2 linked regions of the Cricetulus griseus genome follow. Each later gene encodes a partner of the first gene's protein in a complex. Links are inferred from orthologs where the notes say so. Each region holds a gene or a part of one and is shown on either strand. Other genes may lie near its edges. The genes, in order: Eif3j and Eif3f.

What was found.
Region 2: Eif3j (region 1) and Eif3f share a complex: the UniProt entries of both Homo sapiens proteins name them as parts of the eukaryotic translation initiation factor 3 (eIF-3) complex. The link is inferred for Cricetulus griseus from reciprocal best matches to the Homo sapiens genes EIF3J and EIF3F.

Annotation. Positions count from the first base shown.
Region 1 is NC_048599.1:56,390,503-56,406,499, reverse strand, and holds the end of Eif3j (eukaryotic translation initiation factor 3 subunit J), read left to right. Parts: intron 1-4,081; coding exon 4,082-4,136; intron 4,137-4,477; coding exon 4,478-4,569; intron 4,570-9,778; coding exon 9,779-9,893; intron 9,894-12,752; coding exon 12,753-12,914; intron 12,915-13,967; coding exon 13,968-14,041; intron 14,042-14,293; coding exon 14,294-14,425; 3' UTR 14,426-15,369; downstream 15,370-15,997. UniProt on the Homo sapiens protein: Component of the eukaryotic translation initiation factor 3 (eIF-3) complex, which is required for several steps in the initiation of protein synthesis.
Region 2 is NC_048596.1:91,822,459-91,839,276, reverse strand, and holds Eif3f (eukaryotic translation initiation factor 3 subunit F), read left to right. Parts: upstream 1-6,933; 5' UTR 6,934-6,961; coding exon 6,962-7,340; intron 7,341-11,883; coding exon 11,884-11,954; intron 11,955-12,132; coding exon 12,133-12,212; intron 12,213-12,523; coding exon 12,524-12,661; intron 12,662-14,016; coding exon 14,017-14,108; intron 14,109-14,673; coding exon 14,674-14,810; intron 14,811-14,900; coding exon 14,901-15,014; intron 15,015-15,429; coding exon 15,430-15,507; 3' UTR 15,508-15,660; downstream 15,661-16,818. UniProt on the Homo sapiens protein: Component of the eukaryotic translation initiation factor 3 (eIF-3) complex, which is required for several steps in the initiation of protein synthesis.

The sequences.
Region 1 (15,997 bases):
GAAGCTGGCTCTTTAAGGAAGGCAACCTGAATGTTTTTGTTTTTTTTATAGTCCAGGCTGGCCTAGAACTCCACACATAGTAGAGGATGGCAGTGTACTGAGCCTCCTGTCTCCACTCTCCAACTGCTGGAATTCAGGCATGAGCCACCAGGATACCTGGATTAAAGGCATGTGCCACTAACGACTGGCAGGAGCCAAAATTTTAAAAATTCCTGTGGAAAGCTACTGAGCCTTCTTTAGTTGGGCTGTAGTGGTGATAGTTGAGGCTGTTTGCTCTCTTAAGAGAGTTAATATGATGGTTTATTAGTAATTTCAGGGCAGGTTTGTTGCTTGTATTTGAGGGTAATGGTAATAGACAGTGGCTTTCCTTTCATGGTCCTTTATGCATTGAGGCAGGTGTCATGACTCTGCCTAGAATTTATTTATAGGAACTGCCTCTTGCTACTAAAATACATTCTGTCCTGGCTTGGTGGCATATGCCACAAATCCTAGCATTCTAGAGGTGGGATGGAGGATTTTTAGGGAGCCTCCTGTTTGCATGGATAGGAGCTGGTTCTCTTTTGTTGTGGGGAACCAGAGAGTAATAGGGACAGGGTATATAGAATTGGTATTGAAGGTATCATCAGGGTGCTGCTTATTTTCAGTCATAGTTCTCTCTTGGCTTTGTAGTACCAAACCGAGACTTGGTGATCAGTATCTTTAAATTTCTAAACAAAATAAAACCTTATGTGCGCAACTTGAAGTTTGAAGGTGTTTAACTGATACAATTGTATATATCTGGACATATTTCATATATTAGTATGTACCTTAGCTCTGCTTTTTTAAAATGAGATTCTCTATGATCTAGGGAAGTTCATTCTAGAACTGATTGAAAGAACACATCTTAGTAAGAGGAACGTAGTTTGCAGTTACTTTATATTCCAAGTCTCAGAGGAAGTTACGTTCTGTGTCATTTTGTTCCATTCAGAGCAAATTCCTATATTGTTTCTTACTAGATCATTTGTTGGCTACATCTGAGCTACAGTTTTCTTCTGTAAAGTGGGATGGTGCTGCTTTACTTTTAGGAGTGTTACAAAGATTAATGTTACAACATGAAAAAGCTTGTAGCATAATTTTGAGTGGAAAGTCAGTGCTCATCAGTATGTGCTGTTAGTATTATTATCTTATTTTAAATCTGCATTCCCTGGAATACACATGTCCCTGCTGTCTGAAACACTGTTTAAGCAGCGTATTATAGACCACCCCAAAATGCCTGATAGTCAACTTTGTTTTGCTCTTTGGTTCCCCTTGTACTACAGTTTTGATATAAGAACTAAGGCAATAATATAGTAAGGTAATACAAACATTTGATTTTTAATTTGTAACTCTAGTATCTTCTTAGTTATCCAAATAATGACTAATTGATTTGTTTTCAGTCTGTTAAAACTCAAAACCATGGTTTAAATTGACAAGTGGTTGTAATAATATATTTACTAGGGGGCTGGCGAGCTGGGCTGCTCTTCCAGAGAACCTAGGTTAGATTTCTCAGCACCCACATGGTAGTTTACAACTGTAACTCCAGTTCCAGGGGATTCAAACTCTCTTCTGGTCTCTGGTACATAGACATACACAGACACAGGAAGTAGAATGTTGGGATTAAAATATACACACACATATAGACAAACATATTTACTTGTATATAAAATTATTCCTGTTCTGCTTGTTCAACACATTGCAGCTTCAATAAAGAGGACAGATTTTTAATTTCTTTGCTGGATGTACAAACTTGTCTTAATTGAGGTTTAGTGTATATATACCTGGATTGATTTAGATCTGTGATCTGTAATGCTATAAAGCTAGAAGCTTGTGTTTATGTCATAGTTGTGGTATATTAGTCAGCTTTTGCCTCTTCTACTAGCGTCAGGGCTTCCTGCTTTGCACCTTCCCTCTGATGGCTCATCTTCAAATGACATGTCACATTGTGTCTGGTGATTACTGAGACTGTGTTCTACCTATAGATTAAAGCCCCATTTAAATTTAAGGCTATCTCCATCCCTACTATATTGGAATCTTCTAAATTCTAGAGTCTTTAGAAAATTAGGTTTGTATGTAGCTCAGTGATAGATAGGCATAGAAAATCCAGGGTATAGGTCTAACTCAGAGGGTCTTGCCCGGCCTAAGGAGGCAGAGCCATAAAGGGTTAATTAGTTCTTTAGACTAATCTCTTAATACTGTGTCTAAAATATTGTGTAATTTGATTCATTGACTATAGTTATATTGTAAGCAATACTGCTAGAAACAAATGACCCATTGGCTAGACAGCAGAATACCTGGTTCATTTGGTAAATGAAACAACTGATAATCAATGGGTAGTACACACATGCCTGTAATCCAGAATGCAGTAAGGGAAGGCAACAGGATTGTGAGTTCAAGGCCATTTGAGGCTACATAGATAGACACTGTCAAACTAAAAATAAGATAGCAATTAGAAATTTGAGCTTGTTACCTTGTATTTTGATTGGTAAGCTTTTTATGGTGTTAGATAAGTGGATATAAAAGCTTATATGGAAAAACGTGATAGTAAACATTTAGAATCCTAAAAGGGTGAACAACATTAAACATACATACATTATTTTAAGTCTGCAGATACTAAACATACCATAAAGCTTTGGTAATGAAAGCAGTGTGGTACTAAGTGGGTGTTAGTTAAACCTATAACCAACCCCTACACTCAGGATTTGGAGCAGGGTCATATAGACTAGCTTAGTCTATATGGCAAGATCTGTGGTTCTTTACTGTAGGTGGATCAGGGATGTAAATATATGAAAAAAACAAAACAAAACAATGAAACCATATATATTCTAGAAGAAAACATGGTGAATTCTTTGAGATTGTCTGACTTAAATCCAGAGGTAGCAAAAGCCAGTGACTTGGAGATTTTATTGTATTTGAGGGACAGTTTCATTAAGAGAGGTGCCTATTTCTGTTCTGCTCACTAGTGTAAACAGAACTAGATTGAGCTAGTACGATTAGAAGAATTAGTAAAACTGGTATGGAGGACCTTCATGTCTTCGATGCCTTGGAGGCAGAGGCATGTAGATCTCTGTGTTGGAGGCCAGCATGGAATATGTAGTGAAACCCTGTCTCAAAAGTACACTCTGTTGTTTTCAGGCTATGTGGTATGGGTTGTATAGTATATCACTTATTCAGAAGCTTGGGGCCACAAGTATTTCCTTCCATTTAGGGACTTTTTTTCCTTCAGATTTTGAGGAGTATATGTGTACACATAATGGTATGGGACCCAAGTAAACATGAAATTTTTTTGTTTTAAATATACTTTACACACATAGCTGGAAGGTAATTTTACACACTATTTTAAGCATTTGTTCTATTTGACTAAAGATCTATCAATGGATCATATGTGGAATTTTATTATTTTTTGGTAGTACTGGGGATTGAATTTTATGCATACTAGGCAAGCATTTACCATATTCCCTAGCTTCCTATTGTTTTTACTTAATTTTGAAACAGGATTTCTTACTTTGTAGAGGCAGGCCTTAAACATTGATCTACCCTACCTCTCAGGTCGCTGGGATTACATTCAGATTTGTGGTCTAGGCCCAGTTGTAAGTGTGGAATATTCTTGTGGCAACATGTTGGTACTCAAAAATCTTTGGAATTTTGGAACATTGAAGATATTTGGATTAGAAAACTTTAAAGAATTGATGATGAACCTAACTTAAGTGTCCTCCCAAATTACTAATGTTCAAAGCCCAATAGCGTTTGCTATATACAAATACCTAATTATAAAGCATGATGAGGGCAAGGGAAACCTATAAAAGCAACAGAATTTAAAAATTTATAGGAATTTACAGAATACTAGGAACAACCACAAAATGAAACGTGTAAAACTTCTTACACTCCTGAGATACAAAAGTAGACTTAAAATGGGAAGATAACCCTAGACAAAGGGCCTTACTGTTATAAAGGCTATAATACCAAAAAGTACCAACAAGCTTGTTTGTGCATATTTAGGTTAACCATAGATATCACATAGGAAAGAAAACATGTAAGAATTACTAATGGAGGTTCTTGTCTTCAGGATAACTGGGATGATGATGATGATGAAAATAAAGAGGAAGCTGAAGTAAAACCAGGTGAGTCACTGATATTCATTCCTTCATTGTTTTAAACCAGATGCCCCTCTATACTTTTTCTTTAAGTACCTGCTGGTTTTCTGTTGGAGAAAAGTGTAGGTGTAGGAGATAGAAAGTAGAGGAAATGGTTATTTGAATGATCTTCCCTTGTCTATTTGCATCTCCCGGGGTGAGATTTGAAATGAAAAGGAAGAGTACTAAAACTTTATCATTTCCAGAATATGTGACTCTGAAAGCTAGGGAAGGTTTCGTCTCTTCAGGTGTTCAATCAAGCATCATGTCTGCCGTAGCCATAGACTAGAAAGTGTTCAATATAATCGTAAATAAAATATTTCTTTCAGAAGTAAAGATTTCAGAAAAGAAAAAAATAGCAGAAAAGATAAAAGAGAAAGAACGGCAGCAGAAGAAAAGGCAAGAAGAAATTAGAAAGAGGGTAAGTTCTATCACTTTCCTTAAAATGTATACAGAATTCATAATGTGTCGGTTGTGGTACAGTGTGTGCCGTCTCCCCCCCACCCCACCCCCGCAAAACAGGGTTTCTCTGTGGCTTTGGAGCCTGTCCTGGCACTCACTGTGGATACCAGACTGGCCTTGAACTCACAGAGGTCTGCCTGCCTCTGCCTATCTACCTATCGAGTGCTGGGATTAAAGGCATGTGCCACCAACGCCCAGCTGTGGTACAGTGTCTTAACTGGCTGCAAATATTACATAGCAATTTGAAGGGCTCTGTAAAGACAAAATGGATATACTGTAAGATAGGTGAATCCCAGAAAAAAAATTGATTTGTAGTTTGCGAACCCAGAAGTCTTATATCTGAAAATATTTTCAGTTTCATCATAACAGTTAGATTGGGCAGTGACCACCCTTAATGGTTTTTTTGTTTTTGTTTTTTTCTTTTCTTTCTTTCTTTTTTTTAAATTTTTTTATTTTTTTTATTATTTTTTTTTGCTAGAACCTGCAGTTTTGTTTTTTTTCTTTCAGTGCTGGGATTGAATTCAGGGCCTCATGCATGTAAGTGATCCCTCTACCACTGAGCTATATGCCTAGCCCACCTGTGGCTATTTCTAATCAGTTATACACAGTGAACACAGCAAACAAATGTTTGTCATGCCCTAAAGTGGTTTATTCTTGATTATTTTGTAGCAGGATCCAGCAATATTGCTGTATTTATTTTAATAGGAAACATTTTCATAATTCAAATATAAAAATTATTACAAAACACTCCTAACCCCTTAGTTACTTATTCTGTCTCCACTATCCCACATCTCATGTAAACACTTGTCCCTTATCTGTCCAAGATACTTTTTTTTTTTTTTTTTTTTTTTTTTTTTTTTTTTTTTTTTTGGTTTTTGAGATTGGATTTCTTTGTGTAACAGCTCTAGCTGTCCTAGAACTCACTTTGGTTGACGCCAACTCACAGAGATCCACCTACCCCTGCCTTCTGAATGCTGGGATTACAGGTGTGTGCCACTACTGCTTGGTTTGTCCAAGATATCTTTATATTTCTGTATGTATTATCCCTGCCTCTTTGTGATAGTCTTTAGCTGTATAACCTAGGGTGACCTAGAACTTGGTTTCCCATTGCCCCCACTTTTCAAATGCTGAGATTACAGACATCACTAACTGGCTGTCCTTTTTTGTGTAGTTTCCACTTTTATTTACTGTAGAGATCTTTTCCATACACAGTGTGGAAAAAACTCTAATATTTTTCCTCACTTTTTTTCCTTTTTGTTTTTTTGAGCATTCTCTCCCCTCCCTCCCTCTCTCTCTCTCTCTCCCCTCTCCCCCCACTCCCCCTGGGTTTCTCTGTCTTGCTTTGGAGCCTGTCCTGGAACTTGCTCTGTAGACCAACTGCCTCTGCCTCCCGAGTGCTAGGATTAAAGATGTATGCCACCAATGCCCGGAGAGCATGCTTTCTCTATGTAGACTTTTCTGTCCTGGAAGTCACTCTGTAGACCAGGTTGGCCTCTGCTTTCTGAGTGCAGGGATTAAAGGCATGGGCTATCATTCCCTGGCCTTCTTTACTTTTTGTTAAGAAAAATCCTCAAATATGAAAGTAGGAAAATAATCAGGCATGGTGTTGCACTCCTGAAATCCCAGTACTCTGGAAGTCTGAATTACATTTGTAATTTGTAATAGCTTGGCTTGTATTGTAAGGCCTGGGCTCATAAAGCCAGATCTGGTGGTATTCATACTTATAATCCTGGCACTTAGGAGACAGAAGGAGGAGGATTTCGAAAAGTTGGATGCTAGCCTGGTCTACATAGCAGTTCTAGGCGAACCAGGGTTACATTGAGTGTGAGACTGTTTCAAAAACAAGTAATACATATCACTTAATACTGTTAATGTGTTGCCAGATTTCATTTATTTTTGCTTTGCTTAATATAACTAATATACATTTTACCTTTAAACCCTGAGAAGGGATTTTTTTTTTCATGATTGCATAAATACCTGATATTTAGAAACAGGTATATATGTGTGTATTTATACATGTATAAATACATACATACATAAGGTTGTTTTACTGCTGTAAGAAAGAGATGTAGCATGAGATTATTGGTAGAGTGCTTACCTATGTGGGAGGTGCTATGGTTCAGTCAGTCCCCAGTATTGCTCTTTTGCGGGAGGGGATTACAGGGGAGACCATGTCTGTGTGTAGCCTTCGCTGTTCTGGGACTTGCTCTGTAACTCAGGCTGCCTGAAGTGCTGGTAGTAAAGGTGTGTGCCACTATGCCCGACTCTGCCAAAAAATTTTAATAATTTTACTTTGTTTTTGTTTTGTTTTTTTGAGACCGGGTTTCTCAGTAGCTATGAAGTCAGTCCTGGAATTCACTCTGTAGACCAGGCTGGCCTCAAAGTCATTCGCTTGCCTCTGCCTCCCAAGTGCTGGGACTAAAGGTGTGTGCTACCACCACCGCCTGTGTAATTCTTCCTTTTTGAATAAACTGGTAAGGTTTTTGTAATTTGTGTTTTACTCAAATACAGTAGTTTATTTGAGAATTATATACTTGCATACATTTAATATTTATGTGTTTAAATCAAACCCCTAGTTCCTCCCTTCCCTTCTTTCCCATTACTCTCCCTCCCAACTTCATAAGCTGTTTTTAACAACTCAGAGTCTACTTAGTGCTGCCAGTATATAGATGGGTATAGGACCATCTACAAAACCCTGTGTTCAATCCTTAGCACTTCATCAAACAATGTGTGGCACATGCCTATAACCCCATTGCTTGGGAGATGGAAGCAGGGGATAAGGAGTTCAAGTCATCCTAAGTTACATACTGAGTTTGAGGCAAGTCCTAGGGAGTTGGGGAAGCTGTCTGTCTGTGTGTTTGTTCACAGCACCCTCCACTACCATATATGGTACACACATACATGAATGAACAACTATATGAAGATAAAAACTTTGAAGTTTCAAGCAGGGTATAGTTCTGCATGCCTATAATTCCAATGGGAGGGTTGAGTTTGAGGATAGCCTGGGGGTACAGATAGAGAGCAAACAAATAAATTTATAATGGGTGTGCATGGTGGTATATACCTGTAATCCCATCCACCCCTTACTACATGGGACTATCTCAAAAAAAATGTATAAAACTAAAAAACTCAAAAAAAAATAAATATTATAAAGTTTAAAGCTGTTAAGTGGAGTTGAGGATTTGTTTTATTTTGTTTTTCAAGACAGGGTTTCTCAGTGTAGCCTTGGCCATACTGGAACTAGTTCTTTTCAATTTGGACTATATCCTAACTTTTTTTTTTTTTCTATTTTTTTTTAAGTTTTATTTATTATGTATACAGTGTTCTGTCTGCATGTGCCCCTGCAGGCCAGAAGAGGGCACCAGATCTCATAATGGATGGTTGTGAGCCATCATGTGGTTGCTGGGAATTGAACTCAGGACCTCTGGAAGAGCAGTCAGTGCTCTTAACCTCTGAGCCATCTCTCCAGCCCCCTATCCTAACTTTTTGAGACAAGGTCTTATTATATAGCTTTGGTTGGCTTGGAATATATGATGTAGACAAGGCTGGCCTCTAACTCAGAATAACACCTGTCTATGCTGGGATTAAAGGTGTGTACCACCTTGTCAGGATTATTTCAGACTACCCCTACCTTATTTTTTTAAAAAAGATTTTAAAGAATATATCCTACTTAGTGTATGTTATGTAATCAAGTGGAAGGTTCTAATGTTATTATTTCCCTTGTGTTATTTTACCTACAGTTTTGTTTTGTTTGTTTGTTTGTTTGTTTGTTTTTCCGAGACAGGGTTTCTCTGTGTAGCTTTGGAGCCTGTCCTGGCATTCACTGTGGATACCAGGCTGGGCTTGAACTCCCAAGTGCTGGGATTAAAGGCATGCAACACCACCACCTGGCTTTTTGTTTTTAACCTCTTTACATTTCCTCTCCATGAACAGGCAGGAACATATGTGAGGATTCAAAGGTGCTTCACTTTTCCCCAGTAACTAATTCAAGTAACATACCTCTGTAGAAAATTATATCACAAGGTGTAGAAAAGAAACTAGACTGCTGTCTACCCTTTCAGAGGGCTTTACATTACTGGGGTGTCACTTGATTATTTTGGTTACATTTGTAATTCTACAATAAAATAGAACTTTTTTTCTGATGCTCTGAAAACACTTTTAATGTCTACATTGTCAGATGAGCAGTGCTACACTTTAACCATTCTATAGTTGAACATTTAGGATGTTACTAAATTTACTTGCAATTATAAATAATATTCTAATGAATATCTTTGTGTTCATCTTAGGTTTCACCCCCTCCTCCCATTTTATGTGTCTGTGAGTTTTGCCTTGCATGCATTTGAGTGCCTGGTGACCTCCGAGGCCAGAAGAGGGCTTGGGTCCCCTTAAACTGGAGTTATAAATGGTTATGAGCCCCCATGTGGGTCCTGGGGAGAACACAAGGTCCTCTGGAAGAACAGCCAGTGGTAATCTTTACCATTGAGCCATCTCAATGCCTCCTCTATTTAAAAAGAAGAGATTTTTTTTGAGTGTTTTCCCTGCATGTATATTTGTACTGTATTCACATGGTAACTTTGGAGGCCAGAAGAGGGCCTTTTATCCTGGAACTAAATTCCTGAGTCAACATGGGGGTGCTGGGATTTGAATCTCAGTCCTGTGGAAGGGTAGTTAGTGTTCTCTTTAGCCATCACGTCAGGTTTCTTTCTTTTTTTTTTTTTGTTTTTTTGTTTTTGTTTTGTTTTGATTTTTGGTTTTTTGAGACAGGGTTTCTCTGTAGCTTTGGGGCCTGTCCTGGAACTAGCTCTTGTAGACCAGGCTGGTCTCGAACTCACAGAGATCCGTGTACCTCTGCTTCCCAAGTGCTGAGATTAAAGGCGTGCACCACCATCGCCCGGCATGATCTACTCATTTTTATCAATAGATGGAGAAATAAATAGCCTCTACCTCCTTGGGTTCACCCTGTTAGATGTTACTTCGTATTACTGTGTGCAAGTTTTATTTAATTATCTGTATAAATGAAATATGAATAGCTAGCCTTTAAAGTGTTTAGAAGAATGCTAAAATACAGTAATCATTTTTATGTGCTTACTTGTTAAAGTGCTGACATAAAATTCATACAATACAAAAATACTGTGTCCACTATAAGTGAAACTTGTGTTTTATTTTAGTTAGAAGAGCCTGAAGAACCTAAAGTGCTAACACCTGAAGAGCAATTAGCAGATAAACTCCGTTTAAAGAAGCTACAGGAAGAATCAGACCTTGAATTAGCAAAAGAAACTTTTGGTAAGATGGTGGGTGCAATGTTGCTATTCCAGGTGAAAAATTCTTCCAGTCTTACTACTTTGTAGAAGATCAAAAACCATGTTTTTAAATGACACATACAGCGTTAAGCTCTTGTTTATATATTTGAGATTACTTGACAAAGTATTGGCATGCTTTCAGATGTTTTGAGTAATTTTTAGAGTATTTAAGATTATAAAACACCGTTTTTAACACATTCCTATAATCCTAACACTTGGAAGGTCTTAGCCTTAGTGGTAGCTAGCTAAGGCTATATAGCAAGACTGCCTCAAGACATCAGTAGACCCGGTAAAGTGTACTGTTGCCTAAACTAGTGAACTGGATAGATTCTGGTGTCTACAGCTTTTTAACTAAAATAGTGGACTGTCTTTGGGGACATCCTGTTCCCCTAAGTCTAAATAGGACTTGGGCAGAACATGTTAGTCCATGTAGAATATTCAGTTTTGGCTTTGCCTTGTGTTCGGAGTTGTTTCTTTTTCTTGGCCTTTATAGTACACCATCTTTCAGGGCCATCAGTTATCTTAACAGCTTAGGAAGTCAGGGCAGGAAGTAAAGCAAAAGCCATGGAGGATTGCTGCTTACTGGCCTGCTCTCAGTAAGTCTGCTTTCTTACAGTTCCCAGGATCACCTGCTCAGGAGTGGCACTGCCCACATCTAGCTGGGCTGTCCCACATAAATCAGAAATCAAGAAAATGGGCCATAGGCCAATCTGGTGGGGTCATTTTCTTTTCTTGGTTGAGGTTTCCACTAAACAAAGGACTTTAGTTTGTGTCGTGTTGATTTAAAAACTAGCCAGCTACCTAAGGAAGAGTTAAAAGACATAGTAGAGAAATCCAGAATACTTCATTTGTCAAATTTGTCATTACCCTGTGAAAAAATTCACCCAAGGCCTTCTCTAGAACACAAGAGACTTGCTTGTTCCCCTTTAGGAAAGTCTGACCATACTCTTCAGTGGGTCTCTAGCAATTTCAGCTGTGAATGTGGGTGTTCCTCTATTCATGGCAGCCCATGTGTGTTCAGAATAGAAAATCTCATGGGATACCAGTTACAAATTAAGAAGTGAAAAATGAAATAACACAGTCATTGTTTGGTTAGTAGGAATTTACTGTTTCTTGCACTTACAATGCTGAATCTGTAGTTTTGCTAGGTCATTTATTGACCTTGAAAAAGGTATATACATAATCATACTTTTCGCCTAGAATTCTTTTAGGCTAGATTTATTTTCTCTCGGTGTTTTTTTTTTTTTTTTTTTTTTTTTTCTTCTTCGAGACAGGGTTTCTCCGTGTAGCTTTGGAGCCTATACTGGCACTCGCTCTGGAGACCAGGCTGGCCTCGAACTCACAGAGATCCACCTGCCTCTGCCTCCCGAGTGCTGGGATTAAAGGCGTGCGCCACCACGTTTTTTTTAACACATGGTTACTTCTGTTTAATTTTTGGGGTTAGCTGGTTATTTTTATTGTATCCATCTTTTTTGTTATCCTTACCCATCTTTGCCCAAGGATGCCTTGGAAGCCAGAGGACAACTTGTGGAGTTGCTTCTCTCCTGCCATGGGAGTTCAGGGGATTGAATATAGGTGGTCACGCTTGGTGACAAATATCTTTACCTACTGAGCCTTCTCCCACTCTATCTCTTTTGTTTTTCTTGGACAGATCTTTTGAGAGCATCCTTTTTTGGACAGCTAGTAAATTCTGTGGGTCCTTTTTTAGTATGGCTTTTGTTTTTGAGACAGGGTCTCTGTGTAGCTCTGGCTGGTCTGGAACTCACTCTGTAGGCCAGGTTGGCTTAGAACTCACAGAGAAGCTTGCATCTACTTCTGAATGCTGGGATTAAAGGTGTTTTCTAACACTTTATTTTTAACAAAGGAAACCTGTTCAATTGAAACAGGAATCAAATCACAAAACAAATCCATGATAAAAGTAAAGATTTTTAGTTTCTAGTGCAGGGGATTGAACTCAGGTCTTCATACATGTTAGGCAAACACTACCTGAGCTACATTCCCAGCCCATATATAGTTTTATTAATTTGGTTGTTGGTTGTTTTGTTTCTTTTTTGAGATGGGTTTTTGCCAGGCTGGCCTTGAATTCTCCATCCTCCCAAGCTGGGAGTATGAATGTTCATAACTACTCAACTTCATGTGTTTTGTTTTGTCTTTTCAAGATAGGGTTTCTCTGTGTAACAGCTCTGGCTGTCCTGGAACTCATAGAGATCCACCTGCCTCTGCCTCCCCAGTGCTGGGATCACAGGCATGCGCCATCAACGCCAGGCCGCCAGGTGCTTTTTAATAGTAGTGCTTGACAGTACTGATCAGACAGTGGTGGGGATATCTGCTCCAGCTGCAGTGTACTCCGAAGGGTTTTTTTTAAATGTTTTTGCCTAAAATTAAAATAGGCGAAAATGCTGAATTGGAGGCTAGTAAAATTCAAGATAGATTTTTTTCTTTTCTTGTTAAAAAGCTCAGTAGTTTGTAAAGTTTCCTAGCGATGGAATGGTGGCTCAGTGGGTATTAAGCCTGATAACCTGAGTTTGATACCCCAGGGCACATATTGATGGAAGGAGTGAAAGTTTATCCTCTGATTTACACATGCAGGTCATGGTGGCATGTGCACACACAATATGACAGTTTGTTTAAAGTCCTGCTTTAGAATAAAACTGATTTTGATAGCAACTTGGTTAATGAACTTTAAGGTTTTTGTTACAGAGAGGGTTGTGTTGAAGTCAGAAGACAGTTTTGTTGTGTAATCATCTTTACATGGGTAAAGCTCTTCTTACCCAGAGAGCCATTCTAGCCCCTATTGATGAAAATGATTGTCTTCTAATGCTTCAGCTCTTTTCTCCTGCAGGTGTTAATAATACAGGTTATGGAATAGATGCTATGAACCCATCTTCAAGAGATGACTTCACAGAATTTGGAAAATTACTAAAAGATAAAATTACGCAATATGAAAAATCACTATATTATGCCAGTTTTTTGGAAGCCTTAGTTCGAGATGTCTGTATTTCATGTAAGTGATGCTGATTTCTGCCCCCTTTGTTAAGACTATATTCTTAACATACTTGGGAAACTTTTTTTGTTGTTACTGTTTGTTTTGTTTTTCTATAGCTTTAATGCTATAATACAGACTTGGGATTTCCTTTTTTAGCAAATATCTCCAGTTTGAATATTTGGGGATGGCTACTTTCATTGTTTTATATAGTAGCTTCTCACAGAGATAGCAGTCTTATGCCATACAAAACAGGTCACAACACTAGGTAACCCTTTTATCCAATAATCTCCTAAAGGCCTACACAGTATCTTTAGAGGGAATGCATTAGGGGCTTCTCAGGTTTAGAGCTCAGTAAGACCCTCAGAAATTGATTTTACAAATGGAGTCTGAGATACTGTCTAAATTGCCCGACAGAACTGGCTCCCTTATGCTAGGATGCTACACCAATGTGATTATTACTCATAGGCGGATTTTATAGGAACTGTTTTTTCCTGTGTTTCTTTTGTGGAGGAGCTATCTAACCAAACCCCAACATTTTCTGTATATAAGAACTGATTTTTTTCCAGCCCCCCCCCCCCAATTAAGTAAAGGATATGTTGTCCGCTAAGTGATGTGGTTCTTGGGCTAGAAAACACAGCGGGGCAGAGGCTTATCATATGTGTTTACTTATCATTGCATGTTCAATGTAGCTGCTACTCAATGATTGTAGAGGCTGTGGTTAGTCTCCCTCCTGTTTAGACTGAGGAAAGATGGGAGAGGTAAAGCAAATGCTAATGAGTTCATAAATAATTGTTTTTTAAGACAGGGTTTCACTATGTTGTATGGAGGGCCTTGACTGTACTAGAGCTCTCTGTAGATCAATCAGGCTGGCCTTGCACTCACAGAGATGTGCCAGTTTGAGTGCTCAGTTTTTATAGCCATTGTGTTTACCATTGTACTTTAGTGAGCTATCACTGAGCCCAGCCATAGAAAGAAGAAATTCGTAGTTGTAGTAATGACATTTTATAATATAAGAATATCTATTTTGATTTTAAAATGAAGTTTAAAAGTATGTCTGTTTCTTTTTTAAAGTGGAAATTGATGACTTGAAAAAGATTACCAATTCATTGACTGTGCTTTGCAGTGAAAAACAGAAGCAAGAAAAGGTAAGGGCAAGCTGTACAGAGAAATGACTTGTGCTAAGTTGGGGCTGTGGGCAGAATTCCCTCAACACAGTAAAGAACCCATTGAAATTTTAAGTTAGAACAGAACAGCAGAGTGGTGCCTGTTGGTCTCCATTCACAGACATACAATAAAAATTGTTGTAGCTTTTAGCATCTCTTTGAGTACATACTGTGACAGATGAAATACCCATAGCAGATAAAGGTTCATGAATTTAACTCTTCCTTCATTTTTAGCAAAACAAAGCCAAAAAGAAGAAGAAAGGTGTGGTTCCTGGAGGGGGATTAAAGGCCACCATGAAAGACGATCTGGCTGATTATGGTGGATATGATGGAGGATATGTACAAGACTATGAAGACTTCATGTGACCTTTTATCTTCTCCTGGTGTCTTCTTTATGTTGCCCACAATCCCTTCAACATGTAGCACAACTTCCTTTCCTTTCAGTTCTGCCAAATGCTACAATCAGAAGTGCAGTATCTTTTGTGCTGGTTATTTAACCCCTTGACACTCAGGTGCTAATGAGCAAATGAGGGAACTTGGATCTTGTTGCCAAGGGGTTAAAATTGGGAACCTCAGTTGCTACAAAATCATAGTTTAAAAACAAAACAAACCTAATAATGTTGTCATTGTTGCTATTTGATTCCATAGCAGCAGTCACTAAATTGGAAACAAAGGTTGCAACATGACAAAAAAAAATTGTGTAGTATTTACCAGCACCATTCAGTAATACAGCCTTAACCATACCTCCTTGAACTACTTCATAACTTGTCAAGAAAAGCAGTTTGCAGCAAGCAAGGGCATGTGGGATGCACCTAGTATTAAAATTGCTTTGTCTTAAAATTGAGCTGAGGATATTAAAAACATGTTGTGAAGAAGACTGCTTATCTCAGAGTGAAGATACTGTGGCTGAAAAATACTAGTTTGATACTTAAGATTTTAATGACCAAAACCCTTCAACTTTGAAGCTGAAGAAGGTAAACCTCTCCGTTATTACAGTGCAAGTGGTGGATGATCCAGTGCATTGACTGTCTAGTTATTTATCAGCTATTTCTACTGATGGAGGACTTCAGATGGGGGAGGGAACTGTTTCTATTTTGCCTGATTCAGGTGTCTGAGAAACAAATCTTGTTCTTCTAGGCTGCAATGGAAAAACTTAACAGGGTTTTGGCATTTCCTTTTCTTTATAAAACATGCTCAGCAAACTGCACCAGTTAACTACAGTTTGGTAAATTGTTATGTTAACAATTATGACATCTGCAATGTTTTATAAAGCAACTAATTTAATAAAATAACTATTGTGAGGACTTAAATTTTGTGTTACCTCCCAAGAGATAATTGAGAGTACAGGATGCAGCTCTTGGGTGGAGTTCTCTGTGTACTCAATCAGTGCCTGATGTAGTTACAGCTGAGGCAAGTGTTTGGGGTCTTTAGTAGTTTAGCTGTAGAGCAACAGAAGCTGTCTTCCTCCTGTTCATTTGGGAAATTATTTTGTTGTTTAGATGCTAAGGCCCAATTAAGTACCTAGAACTATTTATTTGGAGTATTGACACCTACTACTCATGTTATTGCTGTAAGCATAAATCGGGTGATCATTTTAAGTAATGTAACAAAATTTGTGGTTAGGTTTTTGTTTGTTTGGTTTTTTGTTTTGTTTTTTTCTTTTGGTCCCCAAAATTGTCACAGCCAGGACAAAAAAATGCTTTATAGTTTCTCTTCCATAGGCAATAGGAACCTCAAAGCTCTGTAGACCACTAAGTGGAAAACAGGACCATATAAATGACTTGAATTAATAGAAGGCCGTGACTACATAGCAATAACTACAGTAAATACTGTTGAAAGCAGACAAGGGCTAAGATCTACTTAGCAGTAATAATGACAGACACTGAATTAAAACCTATTTTATTATAGAAAGATCAGTTTCTAACTCATGAAAATGTA
Region 2 (16,818 bases), on another chromosome or scaffold:
CCTACCTCTACCTTTTGAGTGCTGTGATTACTGCCAAGTAGAACTACACCTGGATTTGTGGGATGAAGGGAATTGAACCTAGGGGTTCCTGTGTGTTAGGTAAGCACTCTACCAACTAAGCAATATCCCCAGATGCCCATCAGCACTCTTAAACTCGACTCAACTTAGCATTAAGAAAAAAATGTTTGAGTATTTTTAATTTCAAAAGTGAGCCTGCCCTTGATTGTGATTGATCCCAGAACTTGTGCATTATCTGCTGGGACAGGGAGAAAGGAAATCTCCATCCTCAGTCCACTGCTTCCCACACCAGCATCATGAGCTCAGACTCTCATGGGGTCCAAAACTGGTCTCCAGGTAAGGAGTCAAGATGAGGCTAAGAAGGGAACAGACACTTTTAGTGATAAAGTTGGGCCTAATGACTTCTTGATCTTAGCATCTACTAAAGGGAAGGAGAATAGCAGTGGCTAGTAGGAAGCTTTCAGAATCCAAGAGATAATTGTTATCCAAAGTTGTGAGGGTCCACTGTGGAAGTATGATGTCTGGAAGTGCTCAAAAAAGTCATTGTAATGGACTTGGTAAGACTCAAATATCAGTATTTTGACTGAATATCAAAGAAAGGAATAAACCTCTCAGAAACATGTCAGGACACAGGGATACTGGGGATTCCCTATGAAGCTGATTCTGGGAAGCTAATTCCAGAAGGACAAGAAGACAACAGCAGAGCACTGGACCAGTCAAGCTCAGGCTTGAGGAGCTGGAGGTGGGAGGATGACTCAGCTCCCTGGCAAGAGAACAAAAAGCTAGCTGTCCAGAAGAGATGCAACAGGTCCATTTTCAGCTTTGCAGGCCAACCCTGGATCCTCTTATCCAAAACCCACCAGTTAATTATTATCCGGTGGGGTAAGAATTCAAAGTAAAGGTGTGAATTCTCAGACACATAGGCCTGATGCGGAGGAGGGCTGGAACCATGAAGGACCTCAGTGAGAAGCAGAGATACCCATACATCAGATATGTTAGTTGGCATGAGCAATTGTTCACCAGATGAAAACTTGACCCCTTGGGAGTCAGAGGCAAGTGAATCTCTGAATTCTAGGCCAGCCTGGTCTACACAGTGAGTTCCAGGACAGTCAGGACAACACTGAGAAAACCTGCCTCAAAAAAAAAAAAAAAAATTGACCTCATTTTTCAGACCCATTAAACTTGGTAAACAAGGGAGGGACCAAAGGCATGAACTATTGTATTGCCAAAGGAAAGACAAAACAGAAGATGTTCCACACCCATCCCTGAAACCACTGGTCCTCTTTACAACTTGACCCTGGTCCAGACCCGGGCAGTGTGACAAAGGAAGTGGAGCATTGTCATTGTCACTGTACCATTTCTTCAAACTGGTGAAGCCACTACAGGTTATGCTCTGACAAAAAAGGGGGGGGGGCAAGCAGGAGTTCTGTGAAATAGAGATACAAACACGTTTCTAAATGTGCCTAAAAGGCAGCTGGTCAGCTAGCCTAGAGAGCAGGGACTCCACTAAATCTCTGTAAATTTGGAGCAGTTTCTCCAAAAAGATTGCCTTCAAGATGAAAAGAACAACGGATTGGTAATTCAACTGATGCCTTTGTCTTTCTGAAAAAGCTAATGAGAGACAGCCAAAAGTGCAGACAATCAACAGTAAATTACCAGAAAACTAGAAATGAAAGTAAAATAAATATTTTAGGAGCAACAAAAGATTAAGACATAAAACATAGTAAACTAAAACACTCAGGTGAATAATATTTGCATACAAATAATAGCATAACCACTTAATAACTAAGATTTATAATATAACCACAATGAAAGGATGGTGGCAGAGAGGCTGGTAAGATGACTCCCTGACTGGGAGCTCTGGCTGCTCCTCCAGAGAACCTGGATTCAATTCCTGGCACTACATGGCAGCTCACAGCCATCTATAACTCCAGTCCCAGGGAATCCAATATCCTTTTCTGGCCTCTGAGGGCATCAGGCATGCACATGGTGCAAAGACATACATTCAGGCAAAACACCCATACACAGGAAATATTTTTTTAATTAGAAAGGATGGTAATGGAATGATTAGGATAAAAGGTCAATGCCTAAGCCTTGAGTCAAAAAGCAGTTGTATTGTGCATACTGTACTGTTTAGAAGTACAAAGATGCAATGGGGCTAGAGAGATGGTTCGGTGTATTAGAGCACTGTCTGTGTAAGCATGGCACCTGAATAGCAAGCATGAGGACTTGATTCATATTCTGCCACCCACATAAGATCAGTGAGGGTGGGTGCATGAGAATGGCTGAGGTGTATTGCCCCCAGTCTAGCTCCAAGCTCAGTGAAAGTCCCTGTCTCAAAGGAACACGGTAGAGAGAGAGTTATAGAACAGGATACCTGACATCCTCTGGCCTGTGCGTACACAAAGGACACACTCCCACACGTATACACATACAACAAATGCACAATAATTTGTATGTGTGTGTGTGTGTGTGTGTGTGTGTGTGTGTGTACACGCGCGCGTGCGTGTGCGTGTGCATGCATATGTACAAAGACATAAGAAAGTTAAAAATCTAAAGTAGTTGCCTTGGGCAAAAGGGCTGGTGATGGTGAGATGAAGACTGTTTGAGGACACAGACTATGTAATGGGTGGAATTTCTGATACATGCACATGCATCACTGAGCTAAAACAATAGGGAAAAGACAGGTGGCCAAGAAGTAGAGGGATTGTGTGTAGAGAAGTCTCAGGAAACTTGGCTGCAAAAGGACTCTGCAAAGTGATGGGGACGTACTAGACCAAGAGAAGGTCTTTGTCTTCACATGGAAGGGGGCATTTTTAAATGCCAGCAACAAGCATCCAAAGGAGGTATCAGGCTAGTAATCTCAAACTGGGGAGGGGTGAGAACAAGGACTGGATTAGGACCCAAGCCTCTCAATGAGAAAGGCTGTGGGAAGGAGAAGCAGCTGCATGGGTTTCATGGTCAGAAGGTGAGAGTGAGCCTGTCTGACAAAGCTATGTTCTATATGATGTACGGCTAACAGGATCTCCAAAGAGCTTGAAGGCAGTGGTGGTAGGAGGGGTGGGGAACCAGGAGGTGAACACTGCCAGCCCTCTCACCTGTTCACCTTTTTCTCTTCTCCAAGCCCCAAGTCACAGCGCTCGGTCAGTACTCCCTGGAGTTCAGGGGAAACAGCAGGAATGGGAATTGATTTGCCCAAAGCCTTAGCCAAGATCAGGCTAGAAACAGAAACCACAGCACCAGAGATTAAGACCAAGATGAGAAAATAAAAGAACAAGATATGACCGTCTAGATAGGATGACAAAGAGCAGAGGCCACTTACTGCACCAACGCCAGGTCTAAGTCACTGGGCCAGATTCATAGCAACACCTTAGTATTTATAGAAACAGGAACCGAGTTTAATTGGAAGGGTGGAGGCAACAGATGAAATCATGTTAACTCTGTCCTGGCTAGAGGCAGAGATGACAACTAGAGAAACTGGGTCCCCAAAAGAAAGAAAATTAAAATGGGGGAAGCAGGACCAAGGATAGAAAGATAGAAACAAAGATAGAAAAAGTGAGAGAGAACAGATAAAGGGAGACATAAGACACATAAACTGAGCAGAAAAAAATGGGGTAGAGAGACAAGAGCAGGGATCTGGCTAGAATACACACACACACACACACACACACACACACACACACACACACACACACACTCACACACATATATTTTTCCTTTCAATACCTGAAATGGGATGGGCTAGATAAAGAGACTATAGACCCACTTTCATATGACTCCCTGGTAGAGATAATCTGGTGTTGTGTTGTGTTGTGTTTCATTTTGTTTTTTCAGACATTGAAGGGACCAGCTCCCCATTTCGGCAGCCATAACAGCTGAACATGTGCTTGCCTTAGTCACTAGGAGGTCAGATGCCTGTCCCCTTTTGGCAGCCATGACAGTAACACATGCTTGCACTGACCTTGCCTTGGTCACTAGGAGGTCAGATGCCTGCCTCATGGCAAGGAACCAATCAGAAGATAGCTGGTGGTGCTATGCTTTATGGCTCTGGGTACAAGTGCACAGCAATGACACACAGAGCATAGCAAACACCCTGGGAGGGCCTATGGGCCATAACCACCAGTTGACCAATCAACACAGGGCAGGCCCTCCAAGCCTGGAGGCACAACAATCCTGAGCCTGTGCATACCCCTAGACACTTCCCTTACACTGCCCTATAAGATCTCTATGCAGTGGCTTCCTGCCATCTTTCCTAGCCATCCACCATGGTGGATGGACGGGAGGCCCAAGCTAACATGGGGTTAGCTCGTTAAACAACTACAATAAAGCCTCATGCTGTTTGCATTAAGCTTTCGCCTCCGCGTGGTGATTGGAGTGGCTGCGGTGCTGGGCTGAGATCCTGGGGGCCTGAGTCTCCGGGGGTCTTACAACATGACTACTCAAACATACTCCCCAGGACAACTAGCAAGTGGCATGCAGTGGTTAATTTTGTGTGACCCAAGCTTTGGTCAACATATCACTGAGAGTTTCTGTGATCCTGTACTTAAGATATAACTGTCAATTGAGTCCGTAACTGAAGAAAGCCAACTGTGCTCCCTAATGTGGGTGCCCTCATCCCATCAGATGAAGCCTGAACAAAAGAAAAGGCCTGGCCATCTCATGAATAAGAAGAGTCTCCTCGGACATGAGAGAGCAGGAAGGTTGAGAAGGAGGAAGAATAGAGGAGAGCAAGAAAAGAGATACCATAGTAGAGGGAGACATTGTAGGTTTAAAGAGAAATCAGGCACTAGGGAAATGTCTGGAGAGCTACAAAGATGACACCAACTAACAATCTAAGCAACAGAGGAGAGGATACCTTAAATGCCTTCCCCTGATAATGAGATTGATGACTGACTTATATGCCATCCTATAGCCTTCATCCAGCAGCTGGTAGAAGTAGAAGCAGACACCATAGCTAAACACTGAACTGAACTGGAATCCAGTTACAGAGAAGGAGTGATGAGCAAAGGGGTCCAGACCAGACTGGTGAAACCCACAGAAACAGCTGACCTGAACAATGTGGAGCTCTTGGTCCCCAGAGTAATAGCTGGGAAACCAGCATGGGACTGATCCAGACCCCATGAACGTGGGTGTCAGTGAGGAGACCTTGGAAATCCATGGGGTCTCCTGTAGTGGATCAGTACTTATCCTTAGCATAGGTGTGGACTTTGGGAGCCCATTCCACATAGAGGGATATTCCCTGAGCCAAGACACACGGGGGTGGGCCTAGGCCCTATCCCAAAGGATATGACAGACTCTGAAGACCCCCCTATGAAAGGCCTCACCCTCCCTGGGGAGCAGAAAGGGTATGTGATAGGTAGGGTTTTAGTTGGGAGGGGTAGGGGAGGAGGGGAGGAAGAGGGAACTGGGATTGACATGTAAAACAATCTTGTTTCTAATTCAAATTAAAAAACAGGAATAAAAAGAAGAGTTTCCTCTTACTGTGTATATAGACCACAGTTTCCCTCACTGTGCATCCTAGAATTTTTCTTAAAGATTTATTTATTTATTATGTATACGGTGTTCTGCCTGCAGGCCAGAAGAGGGCCCCAGATTTCATTATAAATGGTTGTGAGCCACCATGTGTTTGCTGGGAATTGAACTCAGGACCTCTGGAAGAATAGCCAGTGCTCTTAACTTCTGAGGTATCTCTCCAGCCCCTAGAAATATATATATGCAGAAAGAAGATTGGGTGAGGAAAAAGACAAACAGGAAGAATAATTGGGGGGAGGAGTAAAGGGAGGGAATAGGTGGAAGTAAATACTGTCCAAGTATGAAGAATTTATGCCAATAAGAAAAGACCTTAAAGGGGCTGGAGAGATGGCTCAGTGGGTAAGAACACATGTCGTGCAAGCATAAGGACCTCAGGTAGAATCCCCAGCACCCACATAAAAAGCCAGGTGTGGTAACACTGGAGCCTGTAACCCCAGCATTGTGGGCAGTGAAACAGAAGGATCACTAGGGCTTGCTAGGGTTACCAGCCTAGCTCCAGGTTCAGTGAGGGATGAGGTCTCAAGGGAATAGTGATAGAGTGATAGAGCAGGACATCCAATGCCTGGCCGTCATATGCACTCATGAGTATACACACACACACACACACACACACACACACACACACACACACACCCTGACTTCAAAAATAAGCAAAGGAAGGAAATAAAGAGGGAGGGTCGGAGGGATGGAGGGAGAGGAGAGAAGGAAAGAAAAAGGAAAGAGAGAGAGAGAGAGAGAGGGAGGGAGGGAAGGTGGCAGGGAGGGAGGGAGGGAGGAGGGAAGGGGGAGAGGAAGGAGGAGGCAGGGAGGGAGGAGGGGGGAGGGAGAGAGGCCCTTTAAAAGCCCCTTTGACATTTAATATCCAATTTAAGTCTAAAAAAAGAATTGCGGGGGGCGGGGGGGGGCGGCTGGAGAGATGGCTTGGAGCACTGACTGCTCTTCCAGAGGTCCTGAGTTCAATTCCCAGCAACCACATGGTGGCTCACAACCATCTGTAATGAGATCTAGTGCCCTCTTCTGGCATGCAGCCATATATGGAGGCAGAATGTTGTATACATAATAAATAAATCTTTAAAAAAAAAAAAAAATGCGACCTTTACACTATTCTGTGCCGCCATCTGGTGGCAACTGAGTAGATTGCTATTTGTTTCTCTCTGCCCACCCCCACCCCACCCCACCCCACCCTCAGGCGGTCCCAGAGTCACTAGGAACTACTTTGGCCTGCTCCTCACTGAGTGCGCATGGACGGCCATTAAAACGCACACGGCTCACTAAAACTTACAACCAGCCGGAAATGTTAGTGCCCAATAGTCAGCAAGAGCTGATTCACGTGGTACAAATTCAACCAACCAAGTTCCTAATACTTCCTAACTCACGCCCTTCCGTTCTAGGTTCCCTCTTTCTCGGCAACATGGCATCCCCGGCCGTACCGGCAAGTGTCCCTCCCGCCGCTGTGACCGCGGCCCCGGCGCCGGCCACCAACGCAGCCCCGGCTTCAGCCCCGGCAGCGCCCACGCCAGCTCCGGCGCCGGCTGCGACTCCCGCTGCGGCCCCGGCGCCCGCCTCGTCCTCCGACCCTGCGGCAGCTACGCCTGCCGCTGCGGGCCAGACCCCGGCCTCTGCCCCAGCCCCTGCGCAGACGCCGGCACCCTCGCAGCCCGGGCCCGCCCTGCCGGGGCCTTTCCCCGGCGGCCGCGTGGTCAGGCTGCACCCGGTCATTTTGGCTTCCATCGTAGACAGCTACGAGAGACGCAACGAGGGAGCTGCCCGGGTTATCGGAACCCTGCTGGGTGAGTGCTGGAGAAATGAGTGTTTTCTTCTCGTCATCTCCCTCCTGTTTTCACTATTTCCTCTCGCTACATCACCACTGAAGTCTTAACCTGTTGCTCTTTTGCATCTTCTCGATGTGGCTTGCCTTCCCAAGTGTCTTGAATCCTGCCGAATCGCTGTTGAGCGACAGAAATGTCCAAAGAGTAGGTATGAGCTATTGAGTAGTTTGTGGTAGTTGATCTACATGTTATTTTATACTCCTACCAGCGAAGTACGGAGAGTGCATGTTCCCAAAAAATGAGTTCAAAAGCCAGCAAGAAGTGCAAAGCTCTTGACTCTTGTAAGCACAGTATCCACATTTACCCTCATATCCACTGACTAACCAACACACAAACACGTACCCACCACCCTTGTAAGGGAAGAGGATATGTCAAAGCTTCCCCCAATTGAACAAGTAAACCAGGTTTGTTCAGAACCTATTCCGGATATTTAATACTTTCTTTTAATCCCGAACTTTTAAGACAGATGCTCAGTGGCAAGAACCTCTTTGATACTAGTTTCTTGTGGAATGAAACCTGTATATGCTCGGGTTCAAGTATCTACCCCACTTCACTCTTACTTTTCCATTTGCATGCAAGCAATGGTATTACCTGTTTACAAGCAACCTTAAAATGAAGAGTAATCTTTCCTTTGCCTGTGTTACAGATAGTTTATGTTAAGGTGGTTTGTAAAACTGAAAGGCACTGAAGATTGTTGAATACATTTCTGTCTCTGGGGACTGCTGGTCCTGTCAGACTTGCTTGCACTCTGCCTTAGTGACAGCTTTTAAACACTGGCCTTCCACACCATTTCTTACTGGTGATCTTGGAGCAGTTTTCGTACCATGGAAGACCATTCGAGTGCTGCAAAGAGAACAGGATATATAGTCAGACTTCAGCAATTATTAGCTGTCTTGGGACAAATCACCAAAGATCTAGTTCTTTTGGGGACTTTAGCAGACAGTTTTTGTGTGAATGAAATTATTACAGAAAGCAGCTAATGGCTGACACACCTCAGGTACAGCAGCTCTCAGTCACCATATACTAGATATGAAAACCATACCACCCCACCATAAATTTCTTAGGCAGTATAGCACTTTACAAAGACTTAGGAGTTGCTACATTGTTGTTCATCAAAACACACTGGCATTTTCTCCTCCACAAGTCTCTTCCCTGCTCTCCACCATTTTATTTCAGTTCTACAACTGTAATCCTAACTTCCCTCTATTTTTAACCTCTCAGTGTGTTAACATTCTGTAACTGCCCTACTGTGAACTTCTATAACAAACAAAAAATGTTTGTATCAGTGACTTGCCACTTAACAAATACTTGGGGTATACTATCTAATTTCCAGTCTCTGGAGCTGTTTAACTAGAGGAATAAATGTCTATCAAGGTTTATGTTTCACCCCATATATCATAGGAAGGCAGCTGTAATCTGTGGATTCTCTTGTCAGACTGGATCCTGCTCAGTGCTCCCACTGCTACAGAACAGTTGAGTTGTTGATGGAAAAACAAATGAAGCAATGTGTGCTTGGTAGGAACTTGGACTTTTCTTAGGTTGACAGTAATTTGTAAAAGATTTTTGCCTGGCTAAATGAAATCATTAGTGATTTTCATGTACCATAAAACCATTAGGTACTTCGAATTCAAAATTAGTCAAAGGAACACTGTTGTAACCTTAAACTCAAGATGGAAACAGAGTCCCTGAAACGGAGATGTGATGACTGTTCTGCTAGCAGGGTGTCCTATGGAAACACAGAGGCGTAACTATTTGAAAAGGTTATGGAGGAGTCCCAGAAAAGCTGTGGAAGGCCCTGTTAAGGTGTAACACATCTTCCATGTGAAATGAGCCCTTAGGTGGACAGTGTCCACGTGTGCTTCCCAAAGGATTCGGACCTGAGTTTCTAATTTTATGTTTCACTGTAAGACCTGATTTCTAAATTGTTTTCAGTGAATATACCTATAAGTTATAGTTCTTTGTAAGCACTGCTAAACTCAGCGTCCTTTATCCTTTAAACAGAACTTCAGCTACTCAGATTATAGAGCATAAAGTTATGTTCTAAATACCATAATTTTGACATTTCTGAGCCTACTTGGGAATACTAACCTTTTATCCCTGAATCTCAAAAAGATAACGTGCCAGGAATTTGAAAACTGAAAAACTTGTTTTCAGTTTATGTAATAGTTCTAAAATGTACCACTGTTGAGAAATTTTAAATTTAAAAATGAAACAAAATTTTAAAGAGAAAGCTCTGGGCAAGTCCCAGCTTATGAGAGGGCGGCAGGAGGAGAAGCCCTCTGTGGTTCTGGACACCTGCCTCTGGGGCAGGAGTCACAGAGTTGAGACAGCGGAAGTCTCGTCTTCCCAGGAGGCTCTTGAGCTCTTTCCAAAGCTGGGAGACCAGAGCACTGGCTGCTTTGTACAGATTAGTAGACCTGAGCTGGGCCTGGATGACAGCTGGAGGGCATTCTAGTAAAGTAAAAGCATTTGAGAAGTGGGAGCACAGAGAAAGGGGAGAATTGAAAGACAGGAAGTAGTGGCATAGTCAGAAGCTCAGCATTAGAGGTGATTTCTAGATCTTCAATTGAAAGGAAATATGGAGTTTGACTTGGGCTTATTATCTATTCCTTCTGAGATGCCATTGAGTGTGGCAGTGGATTTGTCAGGTTAGAGAAATTGAGTGAGAAAGACTGCTGAGGTGGACCACAAGCCTGACCTGTGAATTCCTGGAACCCACATGGTAGAAGGAGAAAATGCTCCTGTAAATTGTGCTCTGACTTCCACAGGCAAGCAGTTGCATGTGCACACCCACAATCAATCAATGTAAAAGAAAGGCAGAATTTGACAATAAATGAAGAGACTGTAAAGAGATGTGGGCGAGTATGTCTCAGCCATTAGGCAATAAGAAGTAACTGAAATCATAAAGGTGGATGAAATCACATACCACAGGGATTGGCAGCTGTGTTTAAAAAAACAATAACAACAACAAAAACTCAGCCTTTGTAGCAAAAAAAAAAAAAATCCATAAGTAATGCATAAAAGATTGGGCAACTAAAGCCCGGTTGGTGCGCACGCCTTTAATCCCAGCCCTCAGGAGGCAAAGGCAGGCGGATCTCTGTGAGTTCGAGACCAGCCTGGTCTACAAGAACAAGAGCTAGTTCCAGGACAGCCTCCAAAGCCACAGAGAAACCCTGTCTTGGAAAAAAAAAAAAAATGGACAACTAAACATTTATTAGCTGAAATCTTTCTGGGTCAGGACTTGACCTAGAAAAGGAACATGGAGCAAAAACTAGGAACACTAAGAATGCCAAAAACCTGAAGTGTCAGAGGAGGAGCCAGCAAATTAGGAAGAGAAGGGAGAAAACTAGAAAAGACTAGTGTCATGGATACCCTAGGAAAAAGGGGCTCTGAAGTGGAGGAAGCAGTCATGAGGGTCAGATGTCTGAGTGGTCAGATGAGAGAATGTATACCCATGGATTTAAGAACATAGTTCAGAAAATGAAACCATAACAACCAGATCTCTAGCAGGGGCATGTTATAATAGGGCCTGAGGGAGCTTGGGGGAAGGTACCACTATGTTAGAAGAGAATGAAGTTGGGACCTATGGCTCAGTGAGATCCAGGAACTAATGAGAGTGAGGATATCGGAACACAAGTTTGTGGTAGACTGATGGTGATATCCATTCACATGTGGAGATGATAGATAAGCTGGTCTAAAGGGTAATGCTCTAAAACTGTTTACAGTGGCACCAGTCTGTCCTCAGTGATCTGTCAGGTAAACATACAAAGAGAAACTCAAGAGCAGCAGGACCCCTTTGGAGGTTGAACAACGCTTTCACAGGGGTCACCAGAGGCCATCAGAAAACAGATGCTTACATTACAATTCATAACAGTAGCAAAATTACAGTTGTGAAGTAACAGTGAAAATAATTTTATGGTTGGGGGTCACCACAACATGAGGGTCTCGGCATTAGGAAAGTTGAGAACCACTGCTCTAGAGAATGAAGAGTGAGTGTAATGGGATGGGCTGGTAGTGGAAAATAACAGGCAAGAGAGACCTTCTTTGTAAAGGAAGACTTAACCCTGTTTGGTGATAAAAGAAAGAGCTGGGGCTTTGAGTTCTCTAGAAAATACTGGTTCTGTTGATGCTGAACTTGGGGCTAATATTAATATGTTGGCTTCATGTTTGTTGACTTTGAGGAGACCTTGAAAAGCATTTCAGAGTAGGAGTTGGAGATACCACTCAGTTGATAGAGCACTGTGCACAAAGCACTGATTTCAGTCCCCAGCACCACATCAACCAGGTGTGATGGTGCACACCGTAATCCTGGCACTTGGGTGATGGAGACATGAGGCTCAGGAGTTCTTGCTCATCTGTAGTTACAGAGGACTCTGACTCCAAAAACAAATAAATAAGGAAGGAAGGAAGGAAGGAAGGAAGGAAGGAAAGAAAAGGAAGGGAAACCGTTGTGGGCTGTGGAATCCCAGAATTATTTAACCTCCTGCCATTCTCTTTTTACCAGGAACTGTTGACAAACACTCAGTGGAAGTCACCAACTGTTTTTCAGTGCCACACAATGAGTCAGAAGATGAAGTGAGTTGGCTTCTCTCAAGGCCCCTCTGTACTGTGTCTGTAACAGCGCTGCAGGCAAAGCACTGCTTGCCCTGCCCACATCCTGGGCTTCTTCATCTGATGGGGGTGGTCTTTCTTACGATTCAGTTTTAGTGTGTACTTCTAGCTTCTCAACTTCCTCTTCTGCATTCTCTCTTAGGTGGCTGTTGACATGGAATTTGCTAAGAATATGTATGAATTACACAAAAAAGTCTCCCCAAATGAGCTCATCCTAGGCTGGTAAGTTGAGGCGGGTGGATGGATAGAAAGTCTTCGTTGAGGGCCAGCCAGCCTCATTTGTCATCAGACTAGATCTTATTTCACCTTTCAGAGATAGAGTATTCAAAGCATGTGACCTTGAGCCTATTTTGATGGTAATTCTGATCATATTAAGTCAATAATATTTATTTTCAGGAATAGCTTTTGTTATTAGTTTGCTGACATTGTTAATTACTGCTGAGATAGTATCAGGGCCCCAGAGATACCCACACCACTGTTGTATTTGGGATTGGCATCAGGTGTTGAGAACCTATAACTGCTCTGCTTTCCAGGTATGCAACAGGCCATGACATCACAGAACATTCGGTGCTCATCCATGAATACTACAGCCGGGAAGCCCCAAACCCCATTCACCTCACTGTGGACACAGGTCTCCAGAATGGGCGCATGAGCATCAAGGCTTATGTCAGGTGAGTCCTGAGTGACCCGTTATGCCTGGATAACATCTCACGCCTACCCTACTCAGGTCTAATTCTATAGCTCAATGTCTCTTCAGGAACTTCATTCCTCTTTTGACAGCTGTCATTAGAGAAGTTTCTGAAGCAAAGTCTAACCCCATAATTGACACTCACTGGTCCTACTTAAACTGCAGTACTTGCTACTTAACGTCCATTCCATATGTGCCTTGGGTGCATGAACAAACTACCATGTTTTGTATGTGTCATCTTTCTGGGACAGTCCCCACATGGTTTGTTTGTCACAAGGACATGTGACCTTGCTCATTGCTTTTCTGAATTACGTTTAGTTTTTTATTGTCTTAGTTTGCTTTCTGTTGCTGTGATAAAACACTGACCAAAAACAACTCGGGAAGGAAAGGGCTTATTTCACCCTACTGGTGACAGTCTGTCATTGAGGGAAGTCAGGTCAGGCAGCTGAAGCAGAGCCAAAGTGATGCTGCCTACTTCCTTGTTCCCCCGGCTTGTGCACGCTGCTTGCACAAGTGGTCCTATCACCCAGGACCACCACCTCCCACATCAATCATCCCTCAAGAAAATGCCCCACAGACTTCCCTACAGGCCAGCCTAGTGAAAACACTGAGCTGCTTCTTTCCATAGACCATAAAACCTAACCAGCACATTCAGTGTTACTAGAACTTAGCACAGTATTCATAAACCAAAGGATGCTGGCATTATTTGGAACACATCTTTTAAGTTGGAATTAAATAGACTTTTGGACGATAACATTGCAGTGTTGGCTCAGAACTTGCCTGCAGCTACAATGCCATTTGTCAGGGCTTGCTGGGGAGGGCTTTAGCAGTGGAGAAAGGAAGAGTTATTACTACAACTTGAGCCTATGGATAGGCACTGAGCCCAGCCTTCACCCCCTTCTCAGTCTCTACAAATTCAGCCTCCTCAAAATCCATATGAAAATCCAGAGTTGAAATAGTAAACAGCAATTTTAGTGAAGTTACTCTTAGCGCCCTATTGAGTGGTTTGGGGCATGAGTCAGTTTGGTCTTTTAGTGATAATGAGAGGCTCAGGCCCAGAAAAAGATTGCTCTGGTATATCTGTTTGCCCTGAAGATGGGTGTCTAGACAGCCAGGAACATCAGAGTCCTGTCCTCGTTACTGGCATTATGGTGTATGAAGCCATCCTACAAGGGGTCAGGCCAAAGAGAAGAAGGAAAATTTACTCTCAAGGTATTTTGGGAGCAGTCCTGGCCTTCTCACGTGGAAGGTATTACCATTGTGACTGCTTTTCTAACATAGGCTAGAAGTGGAAACTGCTCCCAGGGCATCTATTTACCTTTTCTCCTCCATCCCCAGCACTTTAATGGGTGTCCCTGGGAGGACGATGGGAGTGATGTTCACACCTCTCACAGTGAAGTATGCGTATTATGACACTGAACGCATTGGAGGTGAGTTTCCTTCCCCCACTCCACACACCTAGAGACCCCAGGCTTATTCAAGGGAGGGAGCCATTTCTCTTTGACAAAGATGAAGGGAGGGCTTGGGTAGCTTAAAGAACACTGGTCCAGCCGGGCGTTGGTGGTGCACGCCTTTAATCCCAGCACTCGGGAGACAGAGGCAGGTGGATTCCTGTGAGTTCGAGGCCAGCCTGGTCTCCAGAGTGCCAAGATAGGCTCCAAAGCTACACAGAGAAACCCTGTCTCAAAAAAAAAAAAACCACTGGTCCAAAGTTCATGCTAACTGGAAGATGTGAGGGTTGTTCAGGGTAGGAAATTGTCAGTGTCACAGGCCCTGTAATCTCTATACAAGGCCAGAACCAGTAGTTACCAAACCAGGTGGAGAAACTGAGCTCTCCAAAGAAAGAAAAGTTAGTGTGTAGAGAGCAAGGATATTGGGAGCTGACTGCTTCCCAGGGGGGTTGGGGAGAGTTAGTAAGTGGTTAATGACCTCTTTCCTCTTGTTATGACCAAGTTTTCTCTGTTGTCTCTCACTGCCTGCCCCACATTCCCACAGTTGACCTCATCATGAAGACATGTTTTAGCCCCAACCGGGTGATTGGACTCTCCAGTGACCTACAGCAAGTGGGCGGAGCCTCTGCTCGAATCCAGGATGCTCTAAGCACTGTATTGCAGTATGCTGAGGATGTGCTGGTGAGAAATGGGGAGGAACAGCAAGGGAGGGCTGGCATCCCTGTGGAGCCTGCTGGTGACTTGACAGTACCTAACAATGGACCTTCTCAGTCTGGAAAGGTGTCTGCTGACAACACTGTAGGCCGCTTCTTGATGAGCCTGGTTAATCAAGTACCCAAGATAGTTCCTGATGACTTTGAAACTATGCTCAACAGCAACATCAATGTGAGTGCCATGGCTGGACCCTGGGAGTTGGGTAGATGGAAGGCCACTACACAGTCCAGGGTGGAGGCAGTACAGTATGTTTAGGGGGTCTCCTCCCCTAAGTGCTTGTTTGAAGTACTACTGCTATTACTGTGACTTCTTAACTAGACTCAGGTAGGAGACTTGCTAAAATTCAAGGTAACAAAGACAATTTCTAATTTTACACATCTGTGTTCGCAGAGCACACACCCCCATACTCCACAAGTCTCCACTAAATTCCCCTATTCTATAAGCATCAGTAGGGTGGATAGTGTTCATGCACGGTCCCTGCCTGACTTCCCCCCTTCAACCCCTGCTCAGTCTGCTCCACTGACATTCAGGACTCAGCACAGGCCTTTCTGTCCCCATTGCATTCATTGTTTTCCTTTTCTTTCAGGACCTGCTGATGGTGACCTACCTGGCCAATCTCACCCAGTCACAGATTGCCCTCAATGAGAAACTTGTGAACCTGTGAATGAGCCCTAAGAGGCACTTGTGCTGGTCTTGGTTTTCACCATAGGACTCAGACTGAAGTGGAGGCAAAGGGTTTCTTTGTGGTCTTGAATCACGATCACTTGGTCAACTGCTTGGGACTCCTAATAAACATAGCCTTCCTTTTATAAGTGAACTTTATGTGATGTCATGTTATTGTTGCCTGGGAGAGAAAAGTGTTCTTGAGCTCATACAGAAGCCAAGGAGTGAGCATCCTAGGGAGAAGCTGGTTATGCATTGGCATGAGTCATCAGCAGTAGGAGCACCCACAGCCCAGGCTATGTTAGCTTCACCCAGCACCACACCAGACAGCCTTCTGGGCACAGTGGCTTTACATTTTTCTGACTCTTAGGATCATAGCAAGTGGAATCTCCAGAATTGTTTGTAGATTTTTGGTTGGGGGGGCGGCAGGTGTTATTTCTCAGTTTTTTTCCTCCATAGCATCTTACCTGGATGGTAGTCCAGGGGTTGACTTGTATACAGTATGGAAGGATTTGGAGATGGGCACACACCGCAGACCTGGGACCCAGGAGTTCGTCTCCATGGTGAGGAATATCTGCTTTACCAAACTATTCAGTCTGGAAAGGTGGCCTCATACAGACACAGGTGCATGGTATGCATGTGCCTCTAAACCAAAAAGCCAAAGAATGATGAGCTTAAAAAAAAAAAAAAATCACAGTAGTGGGCAGTCACCTTAGAGGTAGAGAGAAGCCGGCAAGTAGAAGCAAGTGCAGGTTAGTGACTGGTCTAGTGTGACAGTTGGCAGCAGGTCAATGGGTCTAAATAGAGCCAAGTATGAATCAATGATGTTAGTGTATTTTTCACTGTCACCTAGATAGTTCTATACTTACTAGACATTGTATTTAAATGAGAGAAAATACATTGAAAATGATGTGTAAAAGGGGTTTTGTTGTTGTTTTTTAATGTTGTCTAATTGATATGATAGAAAAAGAACTAAAATGCTAACAAGTCTGGTGTTGTAGCTCCGTAGAATGCCTAGGATACATGAAACTGGAAGATGAGGATTTGATCCCCAGCACCCATAAAGTTGGGTGTAATCTCATACCTATAATCCCAACCAGGGAAGAAGGGAGCAGGAGAATCAGAGATTGAAGTGTATCCTCAGCTGTGTATGAGTGTGACACCCGCCTGGACTGCATCAGATCCTGTTCAAAAATCTATGACAACAAATAGGATGCTAATGAGAAACATAGGAGGCAGTTACATAAAGACAACATATTCTCAGATAAAAATGTAAGTTTTCCCTGAGGTAAATTACATATTTGTCACATTT